Oryzias latipes: one gene and its partner. The protein of the gene in region 1 purifies or fractionates together with the protein of each later gene. This does not show direct contact. Links are inferred from orthologs where the notes say so. Each region holds a gene or a part of one and is shown in the gene's direction. Other genes may lie near its edges.

Region 1 (10,725 bases):
GCCCACACAGCAGCTGGAGCAGAAGCAGGCCCTTGCCCGCCAGTTTGCCCACATCTTGCACTTCACTCTACGGTTTGACGAGCTAAAGGTCTGTCGCCCCTCTGCAGTCATTCCTGCATCATCCTTGCTCTTCCTCATCCTCTTAACTCCTGCTTCCCACAGATGACCAACCCAGCCATCCAGAACGACTTCAGCTACTACCGCCGTACCATCAGCCGCATGCGCATCAACAATCTGCCCGTGAGCACAAGCGCAGCACACGCACACTCATTTTAAAGACAGTTTACGATAAAGGTAAGCATGAAACGATCATCCCTGGTGAGTAATGTCTGTCATATCAGTCCGACTCAGGCGGCGAAGTGAACAACGAGCTGGCCAACCACATGTCCCTCTTCTATGCCAATGCCACGCCCATGCTTAAGACGTTGAGCAACGCCACCTCCAAGTTTGTTTCAGATGTGAGTCCGTCAGGTTTATTCACTTTTTCACTGACACATGTAAGAAAGTTTTACCAGCACACCAAGAGAAAAAGACTTTTTTTCTAATCAGTTATTGTTTAATCAAAACATTAATTTTCTCTGCATAATTAAGTAAATATGGGTCGCATTTTGCTTTCATCTTGTGGATTGATTTAAATTAAGTTTCTTTACAAACTGCAGATCTACAGAGTGAAACTTGATCACTGATAACTTTCTTTTACTAATGTATTTGGGAATCTTCAAAAAACTTGAAGCTCAGTTAGTTTGGTTGTTTAGGGGATTTTTCTCTCTGTAGGTTTTGTGGAAAGTTAGGTTTGTATCTACTTGGGTTTTCCTTCCCAAATACACAGAACCCTTCACTTCAACTGTTGTTGAAAAAACAAGAGGTGGATCTAAGCAATATAGTATTGGAATCCCACTCCAATCATCTATGTATCCTCAAGTGTTCCCAGTGGGCTTTAAATTATAATTTTGCCATTTTAGCCAAAATAGAAAAAACATGTGTCGTTTTCTAGGACATAGTTTCTGCAGAGCGACAAGAGTTCGTTGCCTTTAAGTTGTTGGCAGGACTGTTGGTGCAGAAAAAAGCCGTCACTCATATTCCTTCGCTCAATTGTCTACACACTCTCCCGCTAGCTTACAGCCCCTCTTACAATCCCATGCTAGCATTAGCAGAGCAAAAAAAATAGTAATATCTGAGCTATCCACCTGTCCAATTTTGAGCCAGATTCCAGCTCGGACGAGAAAAAAGATGTCCATGGATCTATTTGTCTGCAAATGGATGCATCAGAATGGAGCGCAGCAGGGAAACTTTGGCCAGCCCATTTTAATTTTCTATGTCAAAACTGAGAGATTTTTCAAATGACAATTTTTTATCTGCTTCTGATTCCTCCAAATTAGAAAAACGAAATTCTCAGAAATGAAGTGTTAATTTTGAATTATTTTATATATGTCCTTTATTGTGAGAAAAATGCTACAAGAATATGTAACCCACTAAAAATACAATGATCATTACAGTGGGTCTTTGAGCAACATTAGACCTTTCTGAGGTTTATGCTGAAAAGTCAGTTTGTTGAGTTAACTCTTTAAACTTGCACTTCTGTCAGGGTGTGGTTTTTAAGACTCACTCTTAAACACTATTATATTATCTGTTGTGTTCATGAAGACCATTTAGACAGTGGTCTGTATTTTTAAAGCATTTTTACATTTAAACATTTTTCTTGTGAATTGGAAACTTTAACTGTCGTCATTGTGAGAGTTTTGACTACAAAGTTAGTACAAAAAAATAAACCATTGCTTGTCTTTTTTTGTGTGAATTAAACCCAATTGTCCAGAATCCAGACGTACCCATTGAAAACACAACGGATTGTTTGAGCACAATGGCCTGTGTGTGCAAAGTGATGCTGGAAACTCCGTGAGTCCTGATTAGTTCATGAATCCATCACCAAATGTTTATGCATCACCACAACTCTGGAACTCTATTTTGGTGTTTTTGGTCATGTATGTGTCTCTGTGTGAGCGCAGGGAGTATCGCAGCCGCTTCACTAGCGAAGAGACAGTGCTGTTCTGCCTGCGTGTGATGGTGGGGGTCATCATCCTGTACGACCACGTTCACCCAGCTGGCGCCTTCGTGAAGACGTCCAACATCGATGTGCGTTAATAGCCAGAGATTCGGCACCACTCCCAGCCCTTCTTGTCTGACCTTCTTTCTGTGTCCCTCAGATGAAAGGCTGCATCCGGGTCTTGAGGGAGCAGGCCCCCAGCAGCGTGGAGGGTCTGCTGAACGCTCTCAGGTCCGTACACTGCTGAACGCCCCTTCAAGTATGTGTTATACAGTAAAGTTAGAAAAGTTCTGTCTGATCTGCCTGCAGGTACACGACCAAACACCTGAACGACGAGACTACCTCCAAGCAGATCCGAAACATGCTGCAGTAGAACTGAGCGGCCCTGCTGAGGCTGGAAACCTGAAGTACTCTGGTCCAGATTTCAAAGGAACAATTGTCCATCTCTGTGCCATTATTGTTTTTGATTTCTAAAGTAGAAAGTTTTTTGTTGTTGTAGAAAAAATGGAAACGATTTGTAACGGGTCGTACTTGCTACATGTCAGGTCTGGAGTGAATGGAGATAGACAGTCCAAAATGACCCCCCCAGGCCCCAATATGTACAAAAATGCTGTACTTTTGTTTACAGCTACAAAGTATTTACACAAAACAAACAAAAACCCAGGTGTTATACCACCTGCTGGTAAGAATTTCTTATCACGGCATCACCTGTTTTTATCCATTAGTCTATTTGAAATTCGCTGAGGAAGAAGCTCCTAGTAAGAGTTTCTACCGCGTTCATACCTCATTGCACCTGCACCAGCTGGCTAGGGGGTGGATTATTTTATTATATATTTTTTAACCTTTTTTCAACCATAAAAGTTAAGAGTTTCATTCAGAAATGCCCAAAAAGTAGGAGTTGTGTAGCTTCACAGCGGACAGAAATAAACCAGCTGTCATACCCGTCTAAGATAATACACAACCACAGGTGTAACCATGCGGTGAGGAAGGGGGGCTGGGGGTCATACTTCAAGCCAACGTACTCTGAGACAGAAATCAGCTGAGCTGAATAGAAGAAATGTAGGTCTGTGCTACAATGGTAACACCGCACAAATTTAAAGTCAACTTAAGGTGACCTGGGCTCCCTGGGGACTCCTGGAGAAACGGGTTTTAGACATCCTGAGTGAGGGGGGCTTCAATCTGCTTTGTTCATTCTGTAGAGAATTATGTAATTAATGGTTATCAATGATGATTTTTTTTAATCAAATAAAGTGGGTTTTTTTTACATTCTTAAGAAAATTGTGTTGGTTCTCTGTCTTGTTCGACTTTAAAAACCAGAAGGCAAATCGCCTTACCTTAAATTCACTTGAGCAGAGCAGGCACAGGTTCAGCATCGAGCTGTTTCGACTGTTGATGTCTCAGTTGAATATATATATATATATATATATATATATATATATATATATATATATATATATATATAAATACATGCAGTGGTGTGAAGATGTTTTTGCCCCTCTTCAAGATTTTTTTCTCTCCATGTTTTTCACACTTAAATGTTTCCTGTCATCAAACACATTTAAAAATGAGTCAAAGACAACACAATTAACAATAAAATGCAGTTATTTTTAAAAAAAAATAAATAAAACCTTTATTGCCCTGTGTGAAATATGGATTGCCATCTACATCAAACATTCAGTTAGCCTTTAGCAGCAGCAACTGCAATAAAGCGATTGCGATAACTTGCCATGAGTCTCTCACAGCGCTGTGCAGGATTTTCGGCTTGCTCATCTTTGTAGCATTGTTGTAATTCAGCAATATTGGAGGGTTTTCGAGCATGAACTGCCTTTTTAAGGTCACGCCACAGCATTTCATTGGATCAGGTCAGGACTTTGACTAGGCCACTCCAAAGTTTTTTTTTCTTCTCCCGTAATACTAAAAAATCATTTGAAAACTGCATTATACATTTACTTGTGTGGTCTTTGACTCATATTTAAATGTGTTTGATGATAGGAAAAATTTAAGTGTGGAAAACATGGCAAAAATAAGAAATCTTGAAGAGGGTCAAAAACTTCCTCACACCACAGTATAATGTGTGTGGGGGGGGGGCAGATTTGTGCCACGAAACCGTTAAAGTAAATCAAATAGTTTAAAAAACGTTTTTCAGATTGACTGGTTGGGCTTTGAGAAGACAGTAAAGAGAAAGACAAGCACAGGAAAAGTGGAACACCTGCTTTTAGAATAGATATGTAAATCTCTGCAGCAGTGAGAGAACAGGCAGCAGACGGAGGAACCCGAAAGACCAAAGAGTTTAGCGTATAGAAATTCAGGATACCTGCTGTGTGTGCTGGGAGGGCTGATAGGAGTCTAATCAATCATTATCAATGTCACATTTTTCTAGATTTGTATGTATTTTTAAATCAAACAATGAGACTCAGTGGATTGAGCTGGAGAGGAACATCCTCAGTTGGTAAAAATAGCTGCTCTGCTCTTTTTTTCACTTGAAGATTCCCACACTGGGATTCATGGATGAGGGGAGGGGAAGGGGGTCCCCAGTGCTTTCAGAGGCCCCGTTTCCCTGCACCCCATTTTAATAAAAATCTTTGTCATAGCTTGTTATCTTCTCCTGATTTGGTTCAAACTCTTCCCATAAGAACGTCAAGAAAGATCTGGGACAAACCAATGTCGTTTGTTCGCGTGTTTCTTTAATTATATCTCATAATGGAGTCTGGGGCAGGGGGTGGAGGGAGGGGGGCCCTAAGGTGGCATCTCACAAGCCCCGCCCCCTTCCTCCGTGTGCCTGTCTCTTTAACGACCCCGCCCTCCCTCCACCCTCCTGCCGCAGCATCTTTCTGCTCTCCTCCGGGCGAAGACGGACCCGCCAGGACCGGAACTCGGAACCGAACGGGAACCATGACGGAAAGCAGTAAAACGCACGTGATCCTGCTCTCGTGCGGCAGCTTCAACCCCATCACCAAAGGACACATCCACATGTTCGGTGAGGCTGCGGGGGTGGGAGTGGTGGTGGTGGGGGGGGGTCGGGTTCGGTTCCGATGATGAGCTGGAGGCTTGGCCTGACATGTTCGGTTCAAGCCGAGAACCAGCAGAGAACTGGGTCTGGGATTCGGGGTCCGGGCCTCAATCCTGTGGCGCCGATGATCCGGACCTGCCGAGATTCTGCGGGCCGACCCAGAATCCACCAGGGTTGATGAGTCAGAGCAGGATGGGAGCCTCCATCCGAGTCCCATTTCTGTTTGATACCGACGATGACCATGACGATGGTTGGTTGATCAAGCCGCACCCCACCCCAGAACAGAGTCAGAACACACAGATGAGGTCTGTTTACCTGCAGACAAACATCTGAGTCTAAGTGATGGATGTTTCTGTCTGATACACTTCTGAGAGCTTTGCTTTAGAGCTGGAGCTTTTGGTTTGTTTTTGCTGAAATCCTGCTCACTGATGAAGTCATGGTTTATTTCTGGTAAAGTCCCACCTTAAATCCTCTTTTGATCTATTGTGAAAGAATTTTATCCAAAATCAATAAACCAGTATTGTTTTCTAGGCCATAGTTTCTGCAGAGTGGCAGGACATCTTTAGAATTCACCTTTGAGTTGGGGGCAAGCCCGCCTTTATTTCCCCTCATCCATTTGTTTACACTCTCTTTCATTAGCTTACAGCTCCTCACACCCCTTACCTAACATTACAATATTGCTCACCAAAAATGGTAAAATATTGGAGCTATCCAGCCGTGCAGTTTATAGCCAGATGCAGCTCAGACGAGGAAAATAAAGACGTACACGGATCTATGTGTCAACAAGTGGATGCATCAGACTTGAGCAGAGCTGGGAGCTTGTGTCCTCCCGTTGTGTCTATGGCACATCAACAAGCTTTTTCCGATAATATTTTTTTATCTAGTTCTGATCCAGCTGAAGACCTAGTCTTTGCTATTCCTAGTCTATGATAAAGTCCTGGTCTAAGTTGGTCTGATCTATGATAAAGTCCTGGTCTAAGTTGGTCTGATCTATGATAAAGTCCTGGTCTAAGTTGGTCTAATCTATGATAAAGTCCTGGTCTAAGTTGGTCTAATCTATGATAAAGTCCTGGTCTAAGTTGGTCTAATCTATGATAAAGTCCTGGTCTAAGTTGGTCTGATCTATGATAAAGTTCTGGTCTAAGTTGGTCTGATCTATGATAAAGTTCTGGTCTATGCTGGTCTGATCTATGATAAAGTCCTGGTCTAAGTTGGTCTGATCTATGATAAAGTCCTGGTCTAAGTTGGTCTGATCTATGATAAAGTCCTGGTCTAAGTTGGTCTGATCTATGATAAAGTCCTGGTCTAAGTTGGTCTGATCTATGATAAAGTCCTGGTCTAAGTTGGTCTGATCTATGATAAAGTCCTGGTCTAAGTTGGTCTGATCTATGATAAAGTTCTGGTCTAAGTTGGTCTGATCTATGATACAGTTCTGGTCTAAGTTGGTCTAATCTATGATAAAGTCCTGGTCTAAGTTGGTCTGATCTATGATAAAGTTCTGGTCTATGCTGGTCTGATCTATGATACAGTTCTGGTCTTTGCTGAAGTCATAATCCTGACGAGGTCTATATCCAGCTAAAGTTCTGGTCTTTGCTAAAGTCCTGGTCAATCTGAAGTTCTGGTCTGCAGAAGTCATGGTCTTTTGTTTTTGAAGTTCTACGAACTCTACGAATGCTCACTGGATTGGTGAATATAGACCACAATGCATTGTGTTTGAATGATTTGTCATTTGAAAAAAATGATTGTAAATGTATTTTCTGTAAATAATCCAAATTTCCTTGATCAGTACACAGTAGATCCATGAACAGTCTTTCATAAAATGTTCATATTTATTAGGTTTTTACTTCCGAAAATGGGTGACGTCATATTTGCCGTTTCAAAAACAAAAAAATGTAATTCCAATCCAGGACTTTAGAAAGACCTGCACTTTTTGTGGGATAAGGAGTGGTTAGGGTATGAAGGTTTTGGAACAGATCTTGGATCAGCGTGAGCAGCCAAACAGAAAAACACCAGCACCAAAGCAGAAATGAGTCATCAACTCTGATCCCGACTTTTGACTGGAAAACAGGAAGACACCTACAAAACAAGTTGTCCTCCTTAACATTAAAAGATTCAAGTTTAAAAAAATATCAATACACTTTCCAGAACAAATTCCTCAGGCCCAGTCCCAGACCAAAGATTATAGCTGGACTAAGATCATCTTAGTTTTAAAGACATAGTCTTTATTGAAGCTTTTAATACGCTCACCAAATATCCAGTCTTTATCTGATTTCTTAAGTTATTGGGTTTTTTGAGTAACATAAACAGCATCATCAAAAGCACCATATAATAATAAAAAAAGTTATTTAATAATAAGTTACTGGAAAAACTCATGTACTGTAGAAAAGAGCACACACAGACACACAAATGTCCCCTCAATGACATGTAGGGGACATCGATCTATATCTAAATATCCAATAAATTACACCTCATATATTATAATTTTATTTTTTATATCTATAGATGGATTTTTTTAACAAAATGTATAGCCTGAAGTCACATAAGACCACTGAGTAGCTCAGGGGTCCAAAGCAACCGGTGTGCCTTTCTGATGGAGTGCAAACAGAGAACAGCAATATTATATTTAATTTACAGACATATATGTTTCCACACTACAAAAGCAAAATGATACAGTGACAAGCATCTATCAATGTTTACAACAGGACACAATGGAAGTTTTGGGACTAACCATGTCCGAATTCCCTCACTTCCACTTAACCACTAATATAGGAGACAATCTAGTGCTGTGAATTTTAGATTTGGAGACTCACTACTTTGTTGTTGTTTTTTTAAACACCAAATATGACGTCACCCATTTGCCAAAGTAGAGACTTTTAAAAGAAAAGGAACATTTTACAAAGACCTTTTATGAATCTACTGTGATCTGATAAGAAAAACGTTGGACAATTTTTTTTAAATAAAATTTCATACACTTGTTCAAAAGACAAGTTGTTCAAAAGTAATGCATTGTGGTCTGTATTAGTCAATCTAGTGAGCATCAGTGCATGGTAGTTTTTCACAGAGACTTCTGGGAATTTTCTAGGGCACTGGATTTTGGAATTGTAGATTCGGAATCTCCGACAAAATGCAGAATGTCCCATATAGCGCACTAAGTAGGATGATTTCCGATATTGCCGCAGTTTGACAGTGACATCATTACCTAAATACGTAGTTCTCTGAAATAAAATGGTGATGAATTTGAACTCCATGTATACCAAGCCAAATTTTCTTTTCTGCTTCTTTTTTCAAATTTAAAGTTTTTCCATGTGTAATTTTAGGTTTCACTATGATGGTAGTGCAGGGCTTGGGGTGTTGTGGACATTTTTAAAATCTCTCTTTAAATATAAAGGGTCCTTGTTTGTGTTTAAGTTTGAAAGACGCTTTTATTTTGTAAAGCACTTCAGGTTACTAAAGTACAAAAAGTGCTTTCAAGAATAAAGTCAGATTTTTTTTTCATATTTTCATAGTCAATTTACAATTATCTAACTACTCCCGCTATTTAAGTGGGTTCAATAGATCCCGAATTTTACAAATGGGATTTTCGTTAACTGGGTTTGTTTGTCTGCCGATGCCCCTCGACTTGTTTGCAGAAAAAGCCAGAGAATATCTGCACAAAACGGGACGCTTCATCGTGATTGGAGGGATCGTCTCACCAGTGCACGACTCATACGGAAAACCGGTGAGTATGAACAACATGAGTCCAAAAGTTAGACTGAAGTTCTTCTAGTAGAAGCACCATTGTCTGACTTTTTGCAGAATTTGTCAACATTTGTCAGTCAGAAGGTCTCGATCGTGTTTGCTCACAAAAAACAAACGAGTGATGGGAGCTGTAGTCCAGACACAACAGTGATGATTGTTCTGATTGGATCGTTTCAGCTGCTGCTGTTTGTATGTGTTTGCGTGCATGTTTTATTTTGTGTGTTGCTGCTGGAGCTCAACCCCCAATGATGTAGCACGCTCTTGCCTTGCAGGAAGCTCTGCATGAATAATGGATGCTGCAGATAGCTGCTGCTGCTGCTCAGAAACTAAACAAAAAAGTCTTGTGATTATTCTGGTTCTGTGTTGTTTGTCTGTAGGGCCTGGTGTCCAGCCGACACCGCCTCACCATGTGTCAGCTGGCCGTCCAGTCTTCTGACTGGATCAGGTGAGTTCAACTCACTTTCTGATTTCATTTGGCTTGGTTGTGTTTTCTTTCAGAGGACTTCCTGTAGAATTCATAATAAAAGCCTTGAATCATTGAAAGCTTCTCCAGTCATGATGTTGTTGTTACCAGTCAGAACTTTATAAGTTCTCCGCTCTGGAACAAAAGTCTAAATTGTTTTCATATAGATTAAAAGCAGCTATGGATGATGTTCTCCTGAAGGATTGTTGTTTTCTGCAGGGTGGACCCCTGGGAGTGCTACCAGGACACCTGGCAGACCACCTGCAGTGTGTTGGAGCATCACCGCGACCTGATGAAGGTGAGTGTTTGTCTGTGGAGAAGATTGTGAAAGCACATAGCATTGCGCTGTAAGAAGTGAAAGAACTGATTCCAGTTAGTGAGTCTTCCTTGTATCTTTAAAGAGTCCAAACTTTAACTAGAACTATCAATTAGTTTTTGAACCATTCAGAGGTGGACTTTCATCCTCTTTAACATTCTCGTGAACTCCACACAACCACACTCCCACCTCCAGATGGACCCTGAAAGAGTTAGTTGGAGTCCGATCTGTTCATTAGACCGGATAATCCAGATGTTTCTTATTGTTCTTTTTGCTTAGCAGTGTCTTTTCTCCCTGAACTCCTTCATGGATCCATTTTTGTCTAAAGGTTTTATTCTAAATGTGGAATTATAAACTCAGATCTTAACTCAGTCAGATGAGGTCTAAACATCTTTCCATTTTGTTTTTCCTCCTCAATGAAGCTGTCTTGTGTTTTTGGACTGATTTTGCTTGCTTCCAAAACAGTTTTCCTCTGGTTACCACCATTAGCCCCGCAAGGCAGCACTCTGACAGACAGATGACCTCTGACCTTCACAGAATTTGTACAGTCTATGGCAGGATCGCAGTAGTTTCAGCTCCAAACTTCAAGCTTTCAGTAAAATTTCCCTCATTGGCTTCTTCACTACATCCCTCGTCCTTTTGCTGTCTTTCCATACAACCTCAGCATCCTTTAACCAGCAAAATCACTGATCCTCAATCAATGACCCAAACAGCCTGCTTCTCGGCATTTATCACTAAAACATCCAAAATGTGCCGTCCATATCCCAACCATCCTGAAAACTCCCAAAAAGAGCCTCAAGGTCTTGTGTTTTTATAAATTTCAAAGGTCAGGTAAACAAAGCTTATCTTCTATGTCTCTGAGAAATGATGTCATGACCATGGGTTCATGTGGGTTCATGTCAGAACTCCAAACATTCTTGTTGGGATACTGGATCAATTCTAACAAAATGCTACCTACAATACATGACGTCACTGTCTGATATGTAGGTCAACAGGGAAGAAAGGAAAGGAAGAACAAGAAGACCTAAACTGTTGCTATGACATGTTGCTCCACCCTTTTTTTTATAGGAAAGGAACCATAAATAACTGAAACTGAATTTGGAAAACTAAGAAGAACGTAAACTTGAAATGTTCCTGAAACGAGACAGAAGCAGCTG
Region 2 (10,943 bases), on another chromosome or scaffold:
GTAGTTGCAAATGAGCGATAACTGTATGAGAACTGGACTGAGTGACCCCTCCCCCTTTGCGTTCTAAACAGGAAGTACCTGCTGACTCCAAGAAGCCAATTTCCCACAGATTTATTTATTTTTTTTTTTACAGGTTCTTACTAATCAGAATTTCTTTAAACCATTTTTTTTCTTTACTGCAATTTCTTCAAGTTAAAAACGGACCAATCAGGTGTATCCATCGCCGTTGATATGGTAACTTCGACCAATCACATTGTCTGGCGGCTTCCAAATCAGGAAAACAAATGGACTTCATCCAGTCATTCTCCATGAGTGGCGTCCCCCTCGCTCGGTCCAGTTCTCCCGTATGGTCAATGGGAATTTAGCTCACCAGCTGACATGGCCATGGTCGTGCCGGCTACCATCCCCATGGCAACACCGTTGGGGCGGGCCGGAGGGATGGGCGGGGCGTACACCGCTGCAGGCATCCCGTTGGGCTGGACCACCGTTGTGTGGTGGATGACGTGCGGCGGGGCAGCGTATAGCGGCTGCGTGTAGTAGGTGCCCTGCTGCTGTGACGGTATTAACGCCTAGAAAACGATGCAGAGAGGCTCAAGGGAAGAAGTTGACCTTACCTCACCCTGATAACCTGGATCATTTATACTTCAAGGAAAAACCCAAGTTTGTGTGAAAAGACGAAAATACATTTTCATTGAATTATTGAAAATAACATTTGTCTTTTTGTCTGTTTTCTATTATTTTAACTAATGTTTTTTATTGAAAAATTGTTATAGAAGAAAAGTTGCTTCCCAATTAAAAGGGTTCTGACAAAGCTGTGGTCACATGACTTATTGGTTTGTATGTTTAAAGTTCTAAAAGCCCCGCCCCATTGTGTGATAAACATCAGTCAAACATGAAAAAAAGTGGCAATACGATAAAAAAACCAAAAATTAAACAGAGGCTGATGTTTCTGTTATTAATGGTCCGTTTTATATTCCGGTGAATGTAAACTTCCGGATTGAAGCACATTAAAAAAGCAGCTCAGTTCATCACTTTTTGATTAAACTTGGGACTTTAATTACTTTAATGTAGAATGATCCATCTACACAACAGAAATCACTACTTTTGAGATTTTTCATTTATGAAAAATGATGGTCTGAACCAAATGCATGCTGGGGGAAACTACAATGCTGCTGTGCAGACTATAACTATGGGCTAAGCCCACTAAACATGTTGTTCTTTGAGGCCTAAAAAGCAAAGCTGGTCCCACTGACCTGTGCATAGGGGTTCTGTTGGGCGTAGGTCCCACTGACCTGTGCATAGGGGTTCTGTTGGGCGTAGGTCCCACTGACCTGTGCATAGGGGTTCTGTTGGGCGTAGGTCCCACTGACCTGTGCATAGGGGTTCTGTTGGGCGTAGGTGCTCCTGACCGGGTACACAGCAGCAGAGTACGGGTTGGGTGAGGAGGAGTACGGTGGGACCGTCCCCGTGTTGGGAGAGCAGGACATTTTGAAGGGAGTGCCAGGAGCGTAACCTGGAGAATATGGACAGTTCCCGCTGTAGAACAGGGTCGTACGGTGGAAAGGTCTCAGGTGGGTTTCATCCTTACTGCTTTGAAAGGCCGGGTTGGCTCCTGCATAAACACCGGGGGAGTAGGCGGGGGCGGCAGCTGCGTAGCCGACAGGGAATCCGGCTGCTGCAGGCGGACGCAAAAAGATTTTGCTCAACTTCCTCGCACTTTCTGCCAATCAACTTGGCATCCAGGAGAAACGCGTGAGCTCACCTGGATAGCCTAAACCCTTGGTGTTGGTGAAGGGGACCCCCGTGGGTGTAGGGCTGTAGACTGGATTCATGTTGGCTGTGCAGCTGCTGGAAAAACAGACGGACGAAAACGGGATGAGGATACTATGATCTCCCAAAACCATGAAAAAGTGCAAAGAACCCAAATCCTGACTATTAAAATGTAAAAAGGAAAATCTAACTGATATTTTAGAGGGATCATAAACCCCTTAAATCAGATGCTTTGTCATACATGATCATGGTTTTATTCTACAAAAGCTGACTTTGGAATAACAAAAACAGGAGTCAAAAGGTTTTGAATTCATTGTCCTTCCTAATTTCTTTCAACTGATTCGATATTTCCACCTCCGAGTGTCAAATATGCGCCTAAAAAGCAAATGTACTCTTTGTTTTCTGAGAATAAAATACATTAATTTGTTTATCTCATTAGAGAGCAATCGGAAGACACAGCATGAGGTTTTTATTTTTATTTAAAATCATTTAGAATTTCAAATTTGGCAACAAAATTGTTGAACTTGAAATGGCAGGAAGCGTTGGTGGGAGGTAGGGTTGGGCGATGTCCCTTAAATTGGCCGTTGACGATGTTTGCTGTCAACCATCGGGATGGACGATGACATCGTGGGGGGGGGGGGGGGGGTATTTTTTACATTTTTCGTTCTTATATAACTGCTATTCGTTTTTTTGCTTTTTTCATTTTATTTCCCTACTGATGACTAATCCGCGATGATCCAGTATAAACTGAGGGAGGTGACTTTAACAAAAAAAGTAACAAACAAAATAGAAAAGAAGTAGTCCGCTCCCGCACTTCCGGGGGAGTGCGGATTTACAGCTTTGTGTTTGATGGGAAGGGGGGGGGGGTACATGAGCGGTATGTGTGGGAGATTTAAGACTGCGATCCGTCCCGCAGCTCTAGGGGTACAAGCAACCGAACTCAGAACCGGGTCTAAAAGTGTGTGTCTGTGCACAGCTCGGATCGTCAGCACACACAGTGGTTTGAGCTTCAAAGCAGAAATGTCGCTCAGTCCTTAAAAAACATTTAAACAATCACGCGGATTTGTGTTTCCAGTCGTGTCCCGACTAAATAAAGGCTGATGTTATTCTTACATGTTTACGTGCAGCCAGCAAGCAGCGCCACCCAAAGCTAATGTTGTTAGCCCGTGTTAGCATACTGCTAATCCTGGCTTCGTTCAGAAAAAGAACTGACCACACGGATTAAAATTCAAATGATGAGCGAACAGGTGTTTCATAATAACCGTAACATTATTAAAAGCACGTTTAGAAGATCATCTCGTATTTTACCGAGCTGACATGTCAATGTATATAGCCGCTCGGCGCTGTTTATCATTGTTTTGTATTGAATTGTTACATACAATAAAGTTTGAAAAAAAAAAGCCGCTCGGCGGAGTTTATATCCTTCCGTTTTTCAAACCCTACTGCGCATGTGCGAATGGTTTATTCCGATGGAAAGTGTGACCTTAGTGAACGTTTTTATATTCTGAAAACATTTTTCTGGGCCCCATCTACACGGTTGGATTCTAATCCGACCATTGATCCCATCAAGATATTTTGTACATGTAACCGCGGCTTATGGTGTCGACGCGCAACGTGGCGGGGGCGTGGCATCACGATGGTGGTCTCTCCATCGGGATGTCAGTCACCCATCACGATGGACGATGATATCGTCCATCGGCACAACCCTAGTGGGAGGCATATAAAAGAGTTTAGTAGAATAAATAAATAAAAGTGTTGAAGAAATGAATTGGTTTTAATCAAATACCATAGATTGTTGTTTTAAAAGACCCACTCTGATGAGAATTGTGTTTTGGGTATTTTTAACATGTTCTTGTGGCATTTTTCTCATGATGGAGGACTTAGATGGGGAAAATTAAGCTCATAATAGCATTTCTGAGTATTTTTTTATTTAAACTGTTGTGAATCGGGAGCAGACAAAAAAATGCAGTTGGAAAAAATAAAAGCTTATTTGTGACGTAGGAAATACACTTGCTTGGGATGTCAAACTCTGTGCTCCGGTGACGGGGCAGGTTTGCTCCGCACCATCAGTCATGCTACAACTCAGGGGTGAATTTCTAAAGAACTGTTGCTACTCTGCGGAAACTACATTTTTTGATGATCAGAGTGACAAACAACGACCTTTTTTGGTTTTTCTTTAAGCAAACATCACCTTTCCCCAGGTATTTTATCTTGATATACCTTTAAGCAACTAATCAATCAATCTGATTGTCGTGTGCAAATCTGATTTATTATGTGAAGTGTCTGCTTTTAACTTTTATTTTTATTTCCAGTGAAAGTTTGAAGTTCTGTCTCTTCAGCATCACTTAAAGCAGAGCTCGATACTGCCCTCTGGCGGTAATTATGAATAACATGCATCAGTTTGCAAACATAAAGAAAGAAAGAAAAATCTTAAATTAAAAACTATTTATTTTTACTTAAATGTTCTAAACACTTTCACTACTTGGTTGAAAAGATACGAATTAAAATGCTCATTAAACCCTAAAATATCCTACTATATTTGGTTTACGATACTAAAGAGTAGATTTTAGACATCCCAAACCAAGAAATAAAAAAGAAAAAACATTTTTAAAAAATATTTTAAAACAATATTACTCATTTATAACGGTTTAACAATTCTCCAGTGCGTATATTAACTATTACTTTAATTTCTCCGAGAGAGAGAGAGAGAGAGAAAGAGAAAAAAATATATAAATACAATTTGGTTAAAGATTTTTGGATGGAAAGTGCATCTTAAATATTAGCTCGTTTTCTTTTAAAAATACATCTTCATATGTATATATATTGTGTGTGTGCTCTCTTAAAGGTGACTTTAGGAATGCCGCCTGTAGAAATAAAGATGGCACCTGTAAGTAGAAGAATTTGGAAAGGTGACCACAGCGGGGCTTTGTTATAATGAGCTAGCTTAGCCAGCTGCAGCAGACACCGCAACACCTACGCCGACCTGGATGCGTTTTGCAAATAATTAGGGATCCGCGCAAATAGCTGAAGAAGAAGAAAAAAATCATCCGTCGGACGGCGCAAACCACTCCAGTGTCCCCGGACAGCACGCAGATGGGGGGGACAAGCTTGTCAACAGGCCGCGCTGCACAGGAGGCAGGCAGGCAGCCAGACAGCTGTGACGCCTGTCCCATCACCGCGGATGTTATCGCAAATGTCATAAATAACCCCCCGAAAAAACTTACTGTTGAATGTCTTGACCGTCCGCCCGCACTGTCTTCTGTGTCTCTGCTGTTAAATGAAGCTGGAGCTAGCTGATGTTTTGTTCCCAGATGCTTTGCTTAACTCTTTTGAGCACCCCGCGTCACTTCCGTGTTGTCACGTGACGTTCATTCCTAAACACACAATTTTAATCGGAATACTTTCTTTCTTTCTGTTTTTATTTTTACTATCATAATGCATCACTCAAAAATAGTATAAATAAATAAATTATAAATTCGACAAAAACAGATTAAAAAATAATTTAATAAGTTGTGCGACACAATTATTTAAAAATAATAATTTTAATTTTTACAGCGTAACACAGTCACTGTGCTTAATACTACAAAGACGTAATGTCCAATTTTGTAAGCCTGCTAAATCGTTGTTATCATTTATCATGGCTGCCATTTGGTCTTTGCAGATCACAAAAAAAGATGACTCAAGTTTATTATTTATCTTATTACATGTATTTAGTTACAACTTTCTAATTTGATATGACATATTTAAAGTAAAATCAAAAAATAAATTACATTTTACTATTTTTGCGGAACAACGCAGTAAATAGTTTTCTTTTTATCTTCCAGGACCTTGACGTATCGTCTCCATTCAGCCGTTGAACTGGGAAGAGTCCATACTGTTTTGATTGAAATGCGACCTGAAAGAAGATTTTCAGAAAAGAAAATGTTGCTGCTTAAATGAATTATTGAAGTTCTCCGGCGGTGAAAGGTTAAACTCGTCGTTCGGCTTCTATCGTCGGTGAGAGCCAGCGGCACAAATGTCTGGAGCGGCCGGCGGGGTAGGAGGCTCCCCGTGTTTGGGCGCAGCAGCAGCGGCATCCAGTTGCAGCTCCTCCGCCGGCTCTACCTACGCCGCTGCAACCGCGGGAGTGGCCGGGAGGCTACAAGCTCGAGTGCTGGAGCACATTTTCTCCTATTTGGAACTGGCTGACTTGATGAGCTGTTCGTTGGTCTGCTGGCACTGGAACAATGTCTTGGCGGATGAAAACAGCGAGGTGTGGCGCAGCCTCTGCAGCCGGACTCTTGGCGATGAGGCTCTGCGATCTGACGTCCTGTGTAACCTGCCCACCTACAAGGGGAAAGTAGGTAAACCGACCATGACAGACCGGCGCTGTCAGTCTCACAAAAACCCGCCAAATAACGAAAAGCCTAGCATGCTAGGCTAACATACCGTTGTGGCTATCTAATATTGGGTACATTTCAACCAATATTTACTCAAATTAAAGCAATTTAAAACCAAAAAAATGGAAAAGCTATTAAAATAATTGAAGTTAAATCAGACAAAATTGACAGGTTATCCAAATGAAACCATTTAAAAATAATTTTGTTATAAAAAAAACAATATAATTGCTTATTTTTAACCAAATAAAGGCAAAATTCATTCAAAGTACTTTTTAAATCTTCCAAATATTTGAAAGTCTACTTTTAAAATATATCTATACTTTGTTTTTTTTTTTATTACATCCAATTTCAATGTTCAAACTTTTACGTGTTTTCCTTCAGGGTTTATTCATTTAGGCTAAAAAACAGGGATGCTGGGTAATGATAGCAGGATATCAGTTGCTAATTATAGGGAAAAATGAGTAAATGCGGTAATTGTTTTGCAGTTATTGTTTATCTTCAAATATAAAACAGTTTTTTGAATTAAAGACAGACAAACTTTGACTTTATAGCCAGCGCAGTTATGTGGTGGAGTTAAACGTCCTGCAGGAAGCCATATTTGTAACATTTGTGATGTGCGTCCCACTCTCTGCAGCTCAAAGCCTTCCAGCACGCGCTGAGCTCCCACGACTGCTCGCGCAACGTCTATGTGAAAAAGAACGGCTTCACGCTGCACCGCAACCCCATCGCCCAAAGCACGGACGGCGCGCGAGGCAAGATCGGCTTCATGGAAGGGCGGCACGCCTGGGAGATCTGGTGGGAAGGCCCCCTGGGCACCGTGGCAGTCATAGGCATCGCCACAAAGCGCGCGGCGATGCAATGCCAGGGTTACGTGGCTCTGCTGGGCAGCGACGACCAAAGTTGGGGCTGGAATCTGGTCGACAACAACCTGCTGCATAACGGCGAGGTCAGCGGGAACTTCCCGCAGTGCAACAACGCGCCGAAATACCAGGTGAGGGCCGGAGCTGCAGGGGTATGTCGCCTCCCTGAACCTCATTTTCTCATCATCGTCTTGTTTGTTGGCAGATTGGAGAGAGGATACGAGTGATCCTGGACATGGATGACAAGACGCTAGCCTTCGAGAGGGGTTTTGAGTTTCTCGGAGTAGCGTTTCGAGGACTTCCCAAAGCCTGCCTCTTCCCGGCTGTTTCTGCCGTTTATGGCAACACAGAAGTCACCATGGTGTACCTGGGAAAGCCTCTCGACGGTTAGACCAACCTGTTCCATTATTCAAAGATAAGCTTTAGACAGCTGCAGGACCTTTTTGTTTTTCGTCACACTATCATCCAAACCGTTTGAGACCGCTGGAGGACAACTTCTCCCCAGGCATCTCCATCCACAAAGAGGACTGCTTGCGTTTTCTACTACAGAAGAGGAGTGCATGCAGAGTGTCATGAAAAGGGTCCGGGTTTCCACGTGGAAGAGTCCACTTTTACCGTTAAGCTGCTGACGTTTGGTTGACAAAACAGGAAGCAGAGCGGCTAACAGCTTTACACACACTTGAGGTCTTCTGCCCGCTCCACTGACGCCAAATCTACTCTAATTATTGACAACAACTACTCAGATATTATAAGTGAAAAGGTGGCTTTATGCTGTACAAGTTCATAAAACAAGTCACTGGATTCTCTTAATAACCAGTGACTGGATTATAATGAAGTTATGCCAAACCATTGTCATATGTTTTTTTGTTTTTTTCTTAATTTTATTATTTTTATATAGTAAAAAATGGAGGAAATGTATCACATCTCCTCTTTTTAAAGAACTCCTCAGTATTGGTGCAAATGTTCTCGTTTTATGCTAATGTGTGTCCTTTTTATTATGCTACTGTAGTGTTCAATTTATTTAATTTATGGTTTTATCCTCGGTACCACAGACACTGTATGGTTGTGAGGCCTGTAAATAAAGTCGACATGGTGCCACCACGATGAAAAAGTGGGTGTGTTGATTTTGTTTCATCGTGAAAAAAAAGTACACCCTTCTTTGATCTTATTTGAGCCTTAGTTCTCAAAATTAAACCCAAAATATATTTTAAAAAAAAAACATTTTAGTTTTTTTTTCAATGCTGTTGTCTGTCTAAAGGCCTGTTCACACCGGGACGAATTTCGCCCGCGATTTTCGCCGACGTTTAACGCCCCGTGACTAAACAAAGGGCACCAATGTGAGTGTGCACACCGACGCAAAAAAACGCCACACGTCAAAGCGTCACTTTTTAAAAAAACGCCTCGGGTTCGTTTTTTTTGGTTTGTCGCGTCGAAATCTATTCGACCAATGAGAACGGCGCTTTTGCACACGTGTCTGGAGCCTCTGAAGTTACAGTAAAACACAACTTGGGGGCGCACAAACACAAAACTGCCTTGCTGAGCACATATACCAGTGAAGAAGATAGACGCCAAGTAGCGTCTACACTGCCACGAAGAAATAATGACGGACATTCTAAAATATCCCCGAACCAAGCACCAGTTGGAGCTACTGGTGCTTGGTTCGGGGATATTTTAGAATGTCCGTCATTATTTCTTCGCGGCTGTGTAGATGCAACTCGGCGTCTATCTTGGAGCAACTGGTGCTTGAAATATTCATGTTTTCTTTGTATGATTCTGACAAGCGTGTAAATACTTGCTCTCTTCTTCTGAGTGAAAAGCGACTTTAAGAAGCGTAAAGTTGCGCAGCGCCACCTTGTGTACAGGAGTATTTCTGTTTACATTAAGCGCCATCTAATGTCAGGGAATGAAATTGCATGTTCGCTCGGCTCATCGTCAGCGAAAATCGCCTGGGTGTGAACACAAAAAACGCTGGCGAATAACGCCTGGCGAACATTCTTCCCGGTGTGTACCGGTGTTAAGGGGGGAAAAGTATTTTCTCCCCTGCTCATTTTGTATATTTGCCCCAAATTAAGTCAGTCTGCCGGTCTCTCACAAAGCCCAGATGTGAAAACGGCAGCATGCAAAGAAGAGCTAGAGAAAAATAAAAAACACCAGCGCACGCTGTAACTGTAACTTTAGCTAGTGGCCTCTGTGTAGCTTTAGTTTAAGCTGATGAAGGAGCGGAGCGTTTTTAGCAGGATCCAGAAAGAACTGGAGGATAAATCTGTTGGATTTACAGCAGCAACTTAAAGTTTAATGAAAATATGTTTGATTTGGGGACAATAGAGTAGTTGGATACTTCTGCTACGACACTAGGTGCTACAGTAACGAGCTGTTCCATGTGTCACTGCATTTAATTACGGACCGGTTTAACCCTTGTGCTGTCCTATGACCCCACCCTTACATTGACGTGTTCTCCCTACCATGACAAAGGTGGATAAAGGTGGAAAGATTTCATGTAATCCATGGACACCAGTGAGGTTCACAAAATATTGAAGAAAAAAGATTCAGTGCACTGTTTAGTGGGTCTAGATGACCCAACTCCCAACGTTAAAGTGCCTAGGATAGCACAAGGGTTACAGTTTCTGCCAAACCAAATATGTGGATCAGGGAAAGCTGATTGGCTGTGGCAACCTCTGAGGGGATATGCAGAAAGGTGAACAACAAAGCTTAATTTTTGGTTAAGCCAATGCAAATTGTTCTTATGGGACAGGGACATTTACATATAGAAGGATAGAGTGCATGGGTATTTAATATGAGGTTACCAAAGCCCAGAGTCACTCCGAACATCTTCTGATCTCTTGCAAATACTTCCTTGTGGTCTTTTAATTATGATAATGCTGCTTTTAGGTAAATGAAGAAAACCAAGTCGTTTTCCAGGACATAGTTTCTGCAAAGCAGCAGCATTTGAAATTTGTGTTGTGGGCGAGACCGTTGGCACGGAAGTAGCCCTCTGCAGATATCCCATGATCCCTTATTGACACTCTCTTCCATTAGCTTACAGCCCCCCACACCTCCAAGCTAACGAGTAATGTTGGAGCTATTCAGCCATACCGTTTTGTTACCAGCTCATCTACAAATGGATGCATTAGAATGGAGCGGAGCAGAGCCTTTGTGCCCCGCCCAGCTTTGTTTCGACATCACAAAAATGATCTTTTTTTTCCCCATGGCACTTTTTTTGTCTGCTCGCAATTTACAACGATTGAAATAAAGAAATAATCTGAAATGCTAATGATGGAGGCATCATCAGAGAAATGCTACAAGTTGGTTTGAAAAGTGCTTCATTCTGGAAGTCAAAGGGTTTGAGAAAACCTGAATGTTTTGATGCATGAAAATGTATTTGTCATTGTTCTCCAGGACCTGTAACTGTAAAATCAGGTCAGATGATCATACCCTTACTGCCATGCGTTACAGTTAGAAAAGGTTTTTTTTTTTTACCTATAATAATTATTATTATTATTATTATTATTATAACCTATAATCTCTCCGCATAATCAGAAATCGCTTTTTTTTCTGGCCAAGTGAGTGAGGCAACAGCTATCAGCAACCACCAAAACACAGATGTAAATAAATTAAAATATATATATATAAATGCAATGAAATATCAAATCAACAACTCATAATTCATGTAAGTTTTAAGCGAGGTGGACCATCCCATTCAAGCTCACAGAAAACAAGAATTAGACAAATCTCAGGGTTTCACAAAAAAGAGCTCCAAGTTCCAAAGATTGAAAAAGGGTATAACAACAAATTCACTACAGTCCAGAACTGACATTAAATGACATTGTAGCCCTTGTGCTATCTTAGATGACCCCACCCTCACATTGACGTGTTCTCCCTACCATGACAAAGGTGGATAAAGGTGGAAAGATTTCATGTAATCCATGGACACCAG

The links.
Region 2: the proteins of nmnat2 (region 1) and fbxo45 purify together in Homo sapiens (co-immunoprecipitation; 3 studies listed by BioGRID and IntAct, with this or other methods). This does not show direct contact. The link is inferred for Oryzias latipes from reciprocal best matches to the Homo sapiens genes NMNAT2 and FBXO45.

What each region holds. Positions count from the first base shown.
Region 1 is NC_019875.2:12,700,339-12,711,063, reverse strand, and holds the start of nmnat2 (nicotinamide/nicotinic acid mononucleotide adenylyltransferase 2), read left to right. Parts: upstream 1-4,823; 5' UTR 4,824-4,933; coding exon 4,934-5,018; intron 5,019-8,680; coding exon 8,681-8,769; intron 8,770-9,166; coding exon 9,167-9,234; intron 9,235-9,471; coding exon 9,472-9,550; intron 9,551-10,725. Other genes in the region: protein FAM49B, read left to right, coding at 1-88, 163-240, 342-458, 1,814-1,893, 2,004-2,130, 2,202-2,272, 2,351-2,414.
Region 2 is NC_019878.2:11,797,981-11,808,923, reverse strand, and holds fbxo45 (F-box/SPRY domain-containing protein 1), read left to right. Parts: upstream 1-5,564; 5' UTR 5,565-5,785; coding exon 5,786-6,109; intron 6,110-6,783; coding exon 6,784-7,140; intron 7,141-7,214; coding exon 7,215-7,400; 3' UTR 7,401-8,120; downstream 8,121-10,943. Other genes in the region: fam168b (myelin-associated neurite-outgrowth inhibitor), read right to left, coding at 371-569, 1,371-1,675, 1,763-1,832. UniProt on the Homo sapiens protein: Component of E3 ubiquitin ligase complex consisting of FBXO45, MYCBP2 and SKP1. Functions in substrate recognition but also plays an important role in assembly of the complex.